Regions from separate parts of the Mus musculus genome. Here regions 2, 3 and 4 are each reported to be linked to region 1. Evidence: microRNA targets listed by miRTarBase, many of them from high-throughput screens and not tested one by one. Region 1 holds a microRNA gene; each other region holds the end of a gene's coding sequence. Distances are between the middles of the regions.

Region 1 (3,178 bases):
GGTTTTACTCACCAGGTGTGAAAGATTGTGGATCAGGAGTTCTAATTCATGCTTTACTTCATGATGACTTAGAGATATGCCTGGGATTCATGTGATGCCCCCTATGTATCCCTATCTGTATCTGTTTATATTTTGTGTGGATTTGAGTATATGTATGTTCCTATCTACACAAATATATACATGTACACAGACACAAACAGAAACACACACACAAACATCAGTGCAACTCATCGATCCATTTGAATGACGTGTGACTTAGAGTTTTAAGATTCCTCAGTACTGAATGGGGAGAGGTCTCACTCAGCAGGTGAAGTCCCTTGACAGAGTCAGGTGGATCAGGAGTTCAAATTTGTGCTGAATTTCATGATGAGTTCATGATCAGCATGGGATTCATCTTATGCCCACCAAAAATGTGCATGTGTGTATAGTTGTCTGCATATTCACTTCTCTATATGAATATGCATATACACACATGCACACACATTCATAGGAATGGCCAGAGCTATGTCTCAGGAGGTGAGTACTCTTGCCAGTGTCAGGAGGATGAGGAGTTCAAATTCATGTTTAACTTCATGATGAGTTAGAGTTCAGCATGCGATTCATGTGATGCCCACCAAGAATGTGCATGTGTGTATAGTTGTGTACATAATCACTTCTGTATATGAATATGCATATACTCACACGCAAACATACTCCCATGAATGGCCCGAGCTATTAATCAGTTAGGAGGTGAATACTCTTGCCAGCATCATGAGGATGAGTAGTTCAAATTCATGTTTAACTTTATGATGAGTTAGAGATCAGCCGGGAATTCATGTGATTTTCCCTGTGTTTGTGTTTATGTGTATAGGGAAGTATGCCTGTACATGCGCGTATATGAACATGCATATATATATATATATATATATATATATATATATATATATATACACACCCACACAACTAGGGACACATACATGTGCACACATACACACATGGCAGTCATCCATTTGATTTATACGTGCTTATAATTTCATTGAGTGTATATTCATGGTATAGGGAATAATCTCACTTATCAGATGAAAACCACTTGCCAGAGTTAGGAGTCTCAGGAGTTCAAATTCATGCTTAACTTCATAATGAGTTAGAGATCACCCTGTATTTGTGTGATGGATCCTAGGTATGCACAAGTGCATATAATTGTGTGTGCACGTACATGTGTGTATATGATCATACATATAAATACACACACATACAAATGTATTCACACACACAGGCGTGCACACTCACACACATAAGAATGACACTCATTGATCCATTTGAATGATATATGTCTTAGAATTTTGCTGATTATAAAGTAGAGGGACAGTGAAGGTCTCACTCACCAGGTGTAAATAATTGGCAGTGTCAGGAGGATCAGGAGTTCAATTTCATGCTTAACTTCATGAGCAGTTAGAGATCATCCTGGAATAATGTGATGGCCCCTATGTATGTGCCCGTGTGCGTAAGTGCCTGCATGTATATGCGTGTATATTTTATGCATATACATACACACACCTACACACACATGCACACAGACATGCGGAAATGGCCTTCACGGATCCATTTGAATGATATGTGACCTACTGCTTTGGAGGTTATGTATGACTGGGCCAGGGTGAGGTCTCACAAACCACGGGAAAACCCTTGGTAGAGTCGGGAAGATCAGGAGTGCAAGTTCATAGTAAAGGCATGATGAGTTAGAGGTCATCCTGGCATTCATGTGATTGCCCCTACGTATGTGTATATGTGTTGATGTGTGTGTGCATGTACATATGTGAATATGATATACATATACATACACGCACACATAAGACACATATGAGCACACAGACACAGGGGAATGGCACTCGTCAATCCATTTGAATGATAAGTGACTTAGAGTGAAAATGCTTGCTAGAGTTAAGAGTATCAGGAGTTCAAATTTACACTTATCCTCATGAGAGATCAGCCTGTGATTCCTCCATGTATGTGCATGTGTGTATAGTTGTGTGTGCATGTTCATGTCTATATTTGAATATACATAACATACACACACACGTATAAACGCAAGCACACATACACAGACACAGGAATGGCATTCGCCAATCCCTTTGAATGATAAGTGATGTAGAGTTTTAGAGATTATGCAATAGGGGACATTGAATGGACTCACTCACCAGGTGTAAAAGATTGACAAAGTCAGGAGGATAAGGATTGCAAATTCATGCTTAACTTCATTTGGAGATCATCTTGGTATTAATGTCATGCAACCCATGTATGTGCATGTGTGCTTACTTGTATGTGCATTGTATGTGTTGACATGATATACATAACATAAACACACGTGTTTATGCAAGCACACACACACAGGAAAAAATTGCATTCATTTATACGTTTGAATGACATGTGACTCAAAGTTTTCAAGATTATGAAGTAGTGGGACAGTGAATGGTTTTACTCATCAGGTGTGAAAGATTGTGGATCAGGAGTTCTAATTCATGCTTTACTTCATGATGACTTAGAGATATGCCTGGGATTCATGTGATGTCCCCTATGTATCCCTATCTGTATCTGTTTCTATTGTGTGTGGATTTGAGTATATGGATGTACCTATCTACACAAATATGTACATGTACACAGACACAAACAGAAACACACACAAAAACATCAGTGCAACTCATCGATCCATTTGAATGACATGTGACTTAGAGTTTTAAGATTTTTCAGTACTGAATGGGGAGAGGTCTCACTCAGTAGGTGAAATCCCTTGACAGAGTCAGGTGGATCAGGAGTTCAAGTTCGTGCTGAATTTCATGATGAGTTCATGATCAGCATGGGATTCATATTATGCCCACCAAAATGTACATGTGTGTATAGTTGTGTGCATATTCACTTCTCTATATGAATATGCATATACACACATGCACACACATTCATAGGAATGGCCAGAGCTATGTCTCAGTTAGGAGGTGAGCACTCTTGCCAGTGTCAGGAGGATGAGGAGTTCAAATTCATGTTTAACTTCATGATGAGTTAGAGTTCAGCATGCGATTCATGTGATGCCCACCAAGAATGTGCAGGTGTGTATAGTTGTGTACATATTCACTTCTGTATATGAATATGCATATACTCACATGCAAACATACTCCCACGAATGGCCCGTGCTATGACTCAGTTA
Region 2 (3,178 bases), not on the chromosome of region 1:
ATGCAATGAGTGCGGCAAGACCTTCAGGTGTAACTCATCCCTAAGTAACCATCAGCGAACCCACACTGGAGAGAAGCCGTACCGATGTCAGGAATGCGGGATGTCATTTGGTCAAAGTTCAGCTCTTATTCAGCACCGAAGGATTCACACTGGTGAGAAACCCTTTAAATGTAACACGTGCGGGAAAACCTTTAGGCAGAGCTCCTCACGGATAGCACATCAGCGAATTCATACTGGAGAGAAACCCTATGAATGTAACACATGTGGGAAACTTTTCAACCATAGGTCATCCCTCACCAACCATTATAAAATTCACGTGGATGAGGACCCTTAAAAATACATTTGCAGGTGTAAAAGCCTTAAACCAAAGCTCTTCAGAGAATATCTTGAGAGATGTAATAAACATAATATGGGGGGTCTCTATAATCATTTAGTTACTGTCAACTAAATTCCATGGATAAGTTTTATGTAACAGGTAGGAACAAAATGGTCATGCCTGTCTAACACTTTTAAAAATTACTTGAGATCCAGGGGTTCATACATGTAGCTACTGGGACCCAGAGACATGAGGATTGCTTGACTCCATGAGTTTGAAGCAGCCTCAGCAAACCTAGGGAGGTTTCCATCTCAAAAGATCAGTGACCTGAAATGGAGAGTTCACAGTTGAAGACCTTGACTTCAGGTATTTGTAAAATGGTGCTTTTCTCTCTGCAGCAGTGTGTGCTAGAAACAGTTGTAATTATAGGCATCTAAGTGCACAGAGGAGTGCGCTGGACTTCTCAGTAGCAAAACACTAAACTCTACTGTGGTGATATTTTTATACCACTTTAATAACATTCAAAAGGGATCAACTCATTTTTAAGAAAAAAGAGCCAAAATAAAAGATTAAAATGAGCTGTAATCTACCTCTTAAGTCTCTGGAACATCTCCTTTTCTTGACCGGATTTCAAATGTGTGTGGATATTATTATAAATGAAAAATAAAAAGCTCATCTCCTGGTATTGTGAATTGGAGATAGTCCACCTAGTTATTAATTCTGTTCCCAGAGGTTTTTGTTGTTGCTGTTGTTTTGATTGCTTCAAAGTCATGTGCTACTAAATTCTACCTTTGACCCATGTGCTGTCGTCGAGGTTGTGTGTTAAGTACGGGAACAGCAACTAAGGAGTAGCTCAGTGGTTAGGAGTTTCTGCAGTTTCAAGTGACCCAGCCTCAGGTTCCAGCACCCATGTCAGGTGGCTCACAAATGCCCCTACCTGCAGGCAGATCTGATGTCTCTAGTCCTCACAGGCAATTGCACACATTGCATATTCATGTGTGTGTGTGTGTACACAGTTTAAATCTTTCTAAAAGTGAGAAATAAACTCAAAGTTACTAAGAACATATAAGTTTTAACCACACACGCAAAACCCTTATCAGAAGACATGGCAAATCTAACACCTGTAGGAAAATGCTGAAGATCTTGCTATTATTTAGAGCTGCGTGTGTGCCCCCCAAATTTATGGGTTGAAATGCTAGACTCTGGGGTGATGAAAAGATTACTAGGCCATGTGAATTAGCTCCTCTTTAATGGAGTTAGTGTTGTGGTGAAATAGTAAACTCTTTTTCAGCTGTCTCTCAAATAGCATAAGAAGATACCTTTGAAAGGTATGTTTTCGCCAGACAGCAAAATATCACCCCTTAAAAGTTGTATTTACCAATATGAATATCTTTATTAACATCACTGGATTTAGTATCACCTAGAGGACACACCTCTGGTTATGTCTTCGAGGGTGTTGCTAGAGAGGTCTACCTGTGGGGCAAAGAACCATCCTATATGTGCATGGAATCATTCCACGGACGAGTCCTGGACTGAAAAAAAAAAAGCCAGCTAAATACAAGAATTTTTCTGTTTTCAGCTCCATTAAAACTTGAGGCATCAGCCTAATGCTTGTACAACCACAAGCTCCTCCTACTCTTGCTCTCCTAATGTGATCAGACCTGTGCTAATTGTAACTGTAGTGACATTGTATGTATGTATGTATGTATGTATGTGGGTATATGTGTGCAGATATATACATATATATGCTATATGTATGTTTGAGACAGGGTTTCTCTGTGTGTAGCCCTGACTGTTCAGGAATTCACTCTGTAGACCAGGCTGGCCTCAGAGATCTGCCTGCCTCTGCCTTCTGAGTGCTGGAATTAAAGGCATGGGCTACCACTGCCTGGCCTATATTTGTAATTTTCAGTTAAAAATTAAATTCTTCATTTGCAGTAGCCACAGATCCTCCGTTGAAAAAAGTTGTGTTGCCTTTTGCTGATCCAGACCCAGAAATTATTTGGTGTGACAATTTTCTGCAAAATGCTCTGTAGGGACATGGGAAGACAGCCATCTCACACCAGGTAGCACATCACATTGCTGGTAACTACACAGCACCTGGAAATAAAATGTCAAATCAAATGAGATGACCCACATTTCTTCCTGCTAATGGCTAAGGTTGGAAGGAACACAGAACTACATAGAGATGAATGCTCACAACTTCCTGGGCAACCTGAGGTCTACAATTTTAGTACATTTAATGTTGATTTAGCAATTATCACTGGCTAGGTAATTTATAATGAGATGAAATTTTTTGCAGTAATGATAGCTGAAAAGTCTACACCGGGTGAGGGCCTTACTACAACATAATCTGGCTGAAGCCATCTCCCAATACTCCATAATAACAACAATCAATTCATCTAAATTCTCTACCTCTCAGTGATGTTAAATTGGAGATTTTGTTTCCAACACCTGTACTTGGTGGTGGTGGTAGGGGGCCTGTCAAACAATAGCTTCTCATATCCTTTTGGTGGACCAGCCTGACTCCATCTTAAAGTTAAACACCATTTTGTTACAAGCTCAAAGTAAGCTCATTTCTGTTTGCTGCAAAATTCAAGTTAACTGTGATTTAACCTGGTTCTGGAAATTGACACGTTCCCCCACTCAATGGAGTTCAACTCACACCTCAGATGTACTCCATCCTGATGAGATGTCCGCTAAGATGATCTGTCAGACAATCTAATTGGCTGCCTGCTTGCCGAATATAAAAAGAAATTGCTTGCCAAATCCCTACATCACCAAATTCTTTTGAAAGCTCCCAGTTTATACTTTTTCACTATAACAAGAGTCCTGAAAAGTGAACCCACACTGCTCTCTCAA
Region 3 (3,178 bases), 20 Mb from region 1:
CAGGTCTGACAGCCAGCCTAACGTCCATATCTGTTCTGCTCTGCTTCTCATGTGACTTGAGCCAAGTGACTTTGTCTCTAGGCCTTAGTGCGTCTCCAACACCTGGCCTAGGGTTGGTTTCCAATAACCTCACTAGCTAGGTCTGTAAGACGGCCATAATCACAGTACCCCTCCTTGAGCCTCCTGAGGTGACTAGAAAACCAAGGGCTATGTTGCCTGAGCTAGCAACATGCTGTTCATAGGTGTGGCTCCAGCTTCTGTGTCAGACGTGAGGGCTGAGGCCTTTGGGTACCCTGGTTCTAATACAGGCTGTGAGACCCTTTGGGCCTTGGGACGCAGAACCTTAGTGACTTGCAGTGTTTGGGGCAGGCTACTCTGGGTGTCTGGTACACCATGGTCCCTGGCCCTGGTGCCATTCCATGGTAACGAGTCTCTGGGAAGGTGGTGGGTGTGGCAAGTGGAGCAAAGTGGCTGCTGCTCCAGGAGCATGACCTTGCTTTCGCTTTCCGCTTTCCAGGATTACCCCATCACAGACGTCTGCCAGATCCTACAGAAAGCCAAGGAACTCCAAGACTCGAAGTAACGTGGTAGCAGGGTCCCAGCTTTGGAAGAGCAGCCACTGCGCTTGCTCCACACCCTTGTTTTGGGGACACAAAGGAGCCTGTGAGAAAGCCAGCCTGAAGGGAAGCTACAGTCCTGGCCAGCTCCAGGTCTTCCCAGCCTGGTTCCCATGGTCCAGGGTGCTCCTGGAGCACGCCGCGATGCGCTCCTTCCCAGTGCTCAGCCCTGCCACACTCCCTGCACCTCAGCCCTGGGACCCTCCACCCAGACTGCTCAGCAGGGCCGGAGCTCCTGAACTGGCTTCCTGGGGCTGGGGCCATTTGGGGCCTAGGAGGCTGACAGGGTCCTGCCATGCCTCTGCCCAGTAGCTCCTCACCCCTGTGCTTTCATCTTCCCTGAGTCCTGGTCAGGGGAGGCAATTAGCTAATGGGCCAGAAACAACTTCTGAGTGTTGGTGCTCAGACTGCCTGGGGAAGCACCCCAGAAGAGCTGAGTGACTGCCAGTTCTAGGGCCACCGTTTGTCCCTGTCCGGTGTGTTTGCTTGTGGCCGGTAGGGTTGTCTCCCAGGTCTCTGCTTTGTGTGTGTGTGTGTGTGTGTGTGTGTGTGTGTGTGTATGTGTGTGTGTATGTATGTATACATGTGTGTTCACACATGCCCTGGCAGTGGGGTGAGGGTATGTGGGAACCCTCTAAGGCCCTGCTTCCCCTCTGTGTCTACCTCTGCCTGTCCCTTTTCTTCCTTTGCCAGAGGCGTGTGTGGCTCCTGCTGTCTTTCTTTTGTCTGTCCTCTTTACCCTGGCGCTCTCCTCCCCTCTGCTCCCTGAGGCCAGCATTCAGGAGTGTAGCTTAGTGAGAAAGCCCTGGAGGCCAACTTTATTGGCATCCTGTTCCCATCCCCAGCCTGAGGCCTCCAGGTCCTCTATGTCAGAGCAGGAATCCCCAGTACCTGCTCCAATGGCAGCCTGTGATGCTTTGAGCCTCTCGCCCATTTTCTACTCAAGAATGGAGAAAGGAGGGATGGGGAGAGCCTTCAGTTGGAGAGTAAGATACCCTGGCTGCTGTGTGCCTGGGAGTTGCCATTTCAGGAGTGATGTCATCTCTTTGATGGCCATGTTCCCATCTGGTGTGTGTAGTTCTCATCAAGGGCAAGGGACCAAAGAAAGCTTCTCTGGGTCCAGGGTGGCTAAACTGGAAGGCCTGGAGCTTCACAGTACCAGAGGGCTACCTCTGCCATCTGCCCCCATGGGAGGCGGAGCGGGGAGGCGGCGGGGGGGGGGGGGGGGGGGGGAGGCTTCGGAGGTGCTGGCCTTCCTGGTCATGTGCTTGATCTATCTTCTGACTTTGGGGCTGGGTTCCCTGAACCCTATAGACTTTTCTGACCATGTTTCTTCCGGAGGTCAGGTGGCTTGAGTCCTGAAGGCAGGTTGGCAGCAAGGGCTCTTAACCTTCTCCAGAGACTGGCCAGCAGGAGTGAGGCTCCAGTAGCTGGCACCTGAAGCCTTCCTGAGAGCAGAGGGCAGGGCTGCCTCCTTCCCAGGCCATTGCTTTAGCCAGGTTGGGTTGAGTGCTGCTGGGACTCTACCTGCCTTTTTACTACCTTCTCTCTCAATACACAACACCTGGGACGTATTTTACTATTTATTTGGACACAGGCTAGCTATTTATTGCAGAGTGGCAAGTGACCTGGGGAGGAGTGGCCAGGATGCTAAAGGAGTTGGAGAATTCAAATATGGATTGTCTTATTCCCCAAGGTTAACCCTGACATCCTCTCCCCGTTCCTGCCTGAGAGGGCTGCCAGCTTTACCCTAGAGCCGAGTATAAGGGAGGCCATATACACTCCCGCCATCTTGACCGCCCCCAGACCTAGGACTTGGTAGCTGGTAGCTCAGCCCCAGTACTGCTCCCTTTGTTGACTGGGACGCAGCAAATGCTGCCCAGGACGCGGATGCATTCATTCCTTCTTGCCTGCCTCCCCCACCCCACCCCTTGCCCCGTTTCCTGGGACCATGCTACTGGAATCACTGCATCTGATTTGTTTCTGTGGGAGACCTGCATCCTGTGCCCACCACTTGGTCCTTGAGATGAAGGCCAAGGACATGGAGACTTTGTCTTGGGTAGGGTGGCTCCGCAGTTGGACGCTGCCTGAGGGAAGGATCTGCCCTTGATTCTTAAGGGGGAACCCCGAGCCTGAGCTCCTGCAGCTCCCGGGAGCTCAGCAGGCCAGGGCTGTTGATGAGTCGTCCTTAATAAACTGTGCTCTTTACCATGCGTGTCGGTGCTGTGCTGGCTGGACTTGAGACTTTGGAGGAGAGGAAACAGTTGGAGCAAGGACAGAGCCAGAGTCCCTTAGAGTGTTCTAAGACAGACCAGGAGATGCTTGCCAAGACACTTGCAGTTCGGCTGCGGCCAGCCAGAGACGGCCTTAGGAAGGAGGAGGTGCGCCTGGGCACACATTATTATTAATCTTCTTACATTATATTTCTTTGTGTGCAGCCTGCGGGTGAGGGAGTCTAGCTGGCATTGGTTCCCTCTTGCTATCATGTGGGTCCCAGCAAACTCAGGGCTGCTGTGAGCACCTTTACCCACTGAGCCAGCCATCTCACGCACTTCCGGCAG
Region 4 (3,178 bases), not on the chromosome of region 1:
ATTCACATACAACCTATGCTTAGGAAAGACAAGGTACACACACAAAGAAATTCACCCTATATGACTACAGTTGGAGAAATGCTACTGAACAGCAGACAAAAACAAAAAACCCAATCTTTATCTTAAATAAATAATCCTAAAGTTAATTCGGGAATTTGTGCCAGGTGTCTGAGAATATCTTTATTCTTGATTACCCAGCACAAAAGATAATGTTTATAAAACTGTACAATGTACTGAGTCATAGGTTTAGTCTGCCTATAGTGTAATTTATATTTTTCTTTTAATTCTCAGAAGTTACTGATCTAGAAATAGTTTCGGCGGCCCTCTCTATGAGGGAATAGCCTCTCTAAAGCTACAATCCTTCCTCTCTGAAAGGTGTGTTAGATATTCCTGATTACAGAAATGCCCCTGGCATCTCTTTTGAGTGCTAAGAGGTGCTTTCAAAGATGTACATATTGCCATTAGTGATGCTCAGAACCGGAACGTTTGGCAAGTTTTTGGTGGTTTTCTGTTGTAAGGGATCCTGAGTAGATCTTTGATTTTATGCATACTGCTTGGGTAAAGATCCAGTGGTCTTTACCCAAGGTTCTCTTGCTGTATGTAGGTCTAGAGAATGCCAGCAGCCAGCCACGATGCTCACTCATTCAATGATGGCAGGTCTGGGTCAACTATTTTGTTTGTGTTAGAAACCGTATTTGAAGGGGCCGAGGAGGAAGCTCAGTCGCAATGCTTATCTATCAATGTAAGACACCATAGATCCTCAGTCTCACAAAGAAAAGAAAGGAAGAGGAGGAGGATGGAAAGCAGATTTTAAAGGGAGGGCATCTGAGTTATAAAAGAGGAGTCAAAGTGACAATTTTTTTTGAGGCGTGTCTCTAGTGCATAGCTGAACATGACCTTGAATTTCTGATCCTCCTGCCTCCACTTTCCAAGTAATGGAATTACAAGCGTGTACCTCTTAGACCTGCTTTTCCTTCCTACAACTTAGGATAACTGGTAATACCATAGTTACTTAACACCCTTAAAAGTTCCCAAAGTACATTAATAAACTTTAAATAGTGACAAGCCTGTACATAAATCATTTACAAGTATCCCTGTGGGTGGAAGGTGTTTATGCTGTCATGAAATCATTGGATATTCCTGACGAGAATCTGCCTACAGAACAGAAGGTACACTGTCTGCTGGGCACTGGAAAACTGAGCACAACATGGCCTTACTAATGAAGATGAACATAATCTGGAGACTAATTAAAATCGACAGTGTGCTAGCAAAAGAAATACAAGTCACCTGATGAGATGTGTGCATAGCATCACACAAAGGTTCTCTTAATACCATCTTAATCTTTTGTACGCGTCAATATATGTGGTGTGCATGCATGTATGTGAGTCTGTGTGTATATATGCATTCATAGGTGTGTGTGCGTGTGTGTGTGTGTGTGTGTGTGTGTGTGCATATGTGAACAGGATATATGTATGAGTCTGTACATAGAGAGAACAGACATTGACTTTGGGAATCTTCCTTTTTTACTAAGGTAGGGGTGGTCTCTCAAAAGAGCTGCCTCTCATCCATCGGCTCCTCTCGCCAGCCAGCTTGTCCCAGGAAATCCTGTCTCTTCCTCCTGAGTGCTGGGACTACAGGCAGACCATCAAGCCCACCCAGATTTGTATGTAGGTATGGGGACACAAACTCCAATCCCCATGCCTGTACTAGACATGACTTATCCATTGAGCCACCCCCCATCCCTTTTAATTTTAAGATCATTAAAACCTAATTCTGGTATCAAAACACATTATTTTAATGAAAAAATTTATATGTACATATAGGAAATGTCTATTTAAAATATCTTAGTATGCTAAAAGCTATTAAATGTTTCCCTGTCACACTGCACAGACTTCATCTAAAAATATAAGATACAAAGTGTCTAGATTATATATATATATATTTTTTTTTTTTAAAAAACTTAATTCTTACTAAATTTCAGCTTATGATTCAATAAGTTAACTTACTTGGTTGAGTTTTTTTTTCTTTTTATCAAAAATATTGGTTATAAAATGATACAGTATTAAAAAGCCAAGTTTAATTAAAAAACCAAATAGTCCCTTCTGATACGGAAATATTATAGAGATTTAAATAGTAAGAATTCCATTTAATCCAGAATAATATCAAAGTAAACAGCAGGAGCCATTGGTACTTAGGATTGCTGGACCAGGATTCCTGACCAATAAATTAGGTGCCTATTACAGCACATTTCAAAACCTTGCTGGCTTCTACTGTGTACCCCTGCCTCAGCCTTCGGAGCTGGGATTACAGGCACACACTAGCGCCAAGCAAACCATTGCTTTGTGGCTGAGCACAGTAACTAGTGTTTAAGAGTATCGGAGTTGCTATTAGCAGATAACCTCCACAGTTAACCTGTGTTCAAAAATATACCACCAATAGTTAAAATTCTAGTAGTGTTCTTGGACTTTTACACTTCCCTCAAACAGCAGACATCATTAGCAAGATGATACAGGTCAAAACTCACACATTTGTCCATTGATACACAAAATGCATGGGTCCTTTCCCTGACCCAGCTTCATCCCATCTTGACTTCATGTCTGCAGCTCTCCGGACAGACACAAATAGGAAGATCTTTGGTGATCCTTGTGGCTCGCCATTCATTGATCACCCTGATTTGCTGAAACGATACAAGTGTATTTATTTCCTAAGCTTCTTATTTCCGGTCATAACAAAATAATGGTCATCTTCTTCCTTCTTCCTGGCAGTGGGCATTTTATCTCCGCTGTCTGCCCCCTTACCAGATGAGGGTGGGTCCCTGAAGGAAGTTGGTGGCTTGCTGCTTTTGGGAGGCCCTTTAGCTGAGTACTGGCCCTTCATGGCAGTCTTGGCTGACTTCGAGACAGTTTCTGTCTTGGTAGCAGATTGGGGAACAGTCACAATAGACAGCGGGGTACGGCCAGGAGACTTTGAAGAGCCAGGTCCCGGATTCCGGCAGACACCCTTACTCTGAGGTTGCTTTTTGGCAACTGAAACTGTATTCTTACCTTTCGATCCCTGAGTAGCTTTTGCAGAGGACCCTGAGCACACAGAAGCTGGACTGTTTAAATTCAATGTAGACTGAAGTCTTTGTGCTGAGACTGCTCCTGACCTCGGCGTTCTAGTGGGTGGCTGAGACTGT

Evidence for each region. The annotated mature microRNA mmu-miR-466p-3p reads AUACAUACACGCACACAUAAGA and lies in region 1 at 1,813-1,834, shown strand. An mRNA with a match to its seed (bases 2 to 7 or 8) in the 3' UTR can be bound and repressed. Matches are read on the target gene's strand: a 7mer-m8 pairs with bases 2 to 8, a 7mer-A1 pairs with bases 2 to 7 and ends in A, and an 8mer does both.
Region 2: miRTarBase lists Zfp354a as a target of mmu-miR-466p-3p. Seed matches in the 3' UTR shown: 7mer-A1 at 466-472, 7mer-m8 at 2,006-2,012, 7mer-m8 at 2,010-2,016, 7mer-m8 at 2,014-2,020, 7mer-m8 at 2,018-2,024 and 7mer-m8 at 2,022-2,028.
Region 3: miRTarBase lists Tbc1d13 as a target of mmu-miR-466p-3p. Seed matches in the 3' UTR shown: 7mer-m8 at 1,187-1,193 and 7mer-m8 at 1,191-1,197.
Region 4: the mRNA of Gas2l3 is a reported target of mmu-miR-466p-3p. The part of its 3' UTR that is shown has no 7-base or 8-base seed match.

What each region holds. Positions count from the first base shown.
Region 1 is chr2:10,489,578-10,492,755 of GRCm38, forward strand. It overlaps Gm25285 (predicted gene, 25285), which reads left to right and starts at 1,759; the gene lies at 1,759-1,848. The region is part of intron 10 of Sfmbt2 (Scm-like with four mbt domains 2); the gene reads left to right. Mir467a-6 (microRNA 467a-6) reads left to right here and starts at 1,471; the gene lies at 1,471-1,553. Mir669a-8 (microRNA 669a-8) reads left to right here and starts at 1,989; the gene lies at 1,989-2,075.
Region 2 is chr11:51,070,352-51,073,529 of GRCm38, forward strand. Zfp354a (zinc finger protein 354A) reads left to right here. Exons shown (of 5, transcript NM_009329.4): 5 at 1-2,448. The coding sequence ends at 334. Among named protein-coding and RNA genes, the nearest start is that of Zfp354a, 13 kb to the left of the region's middle.
Region 3 is chr2:30,149,183-30,152,360 of GRCm38, forward strand. It overlaps Tbc1d13 (TBC1 domain family, member 13), which reads left to right. Exons shown (of 12, transcript NM_146252.3): 12 at 518-2,832. The coding sequence ends at 583. Among named protein-coding and RNA genes, the nearest start is that of Gm31080, 12 kb to the right of the region's middle.
Region 4 is chr10:89,410,506-89,413,683 of GRCm38, forward strand. It overlaps Gas2l3 (growth arrest-specific 2 like 3), which reads right to left. Exons shown (of 11, transcript NM_001033331.2): 11 at 1-3,178. The coding sequence ends at 2,698. Among named protein-coding and RNA genes, the nearest start is that of Gas2l3, 32 kb to the right of the region's middle.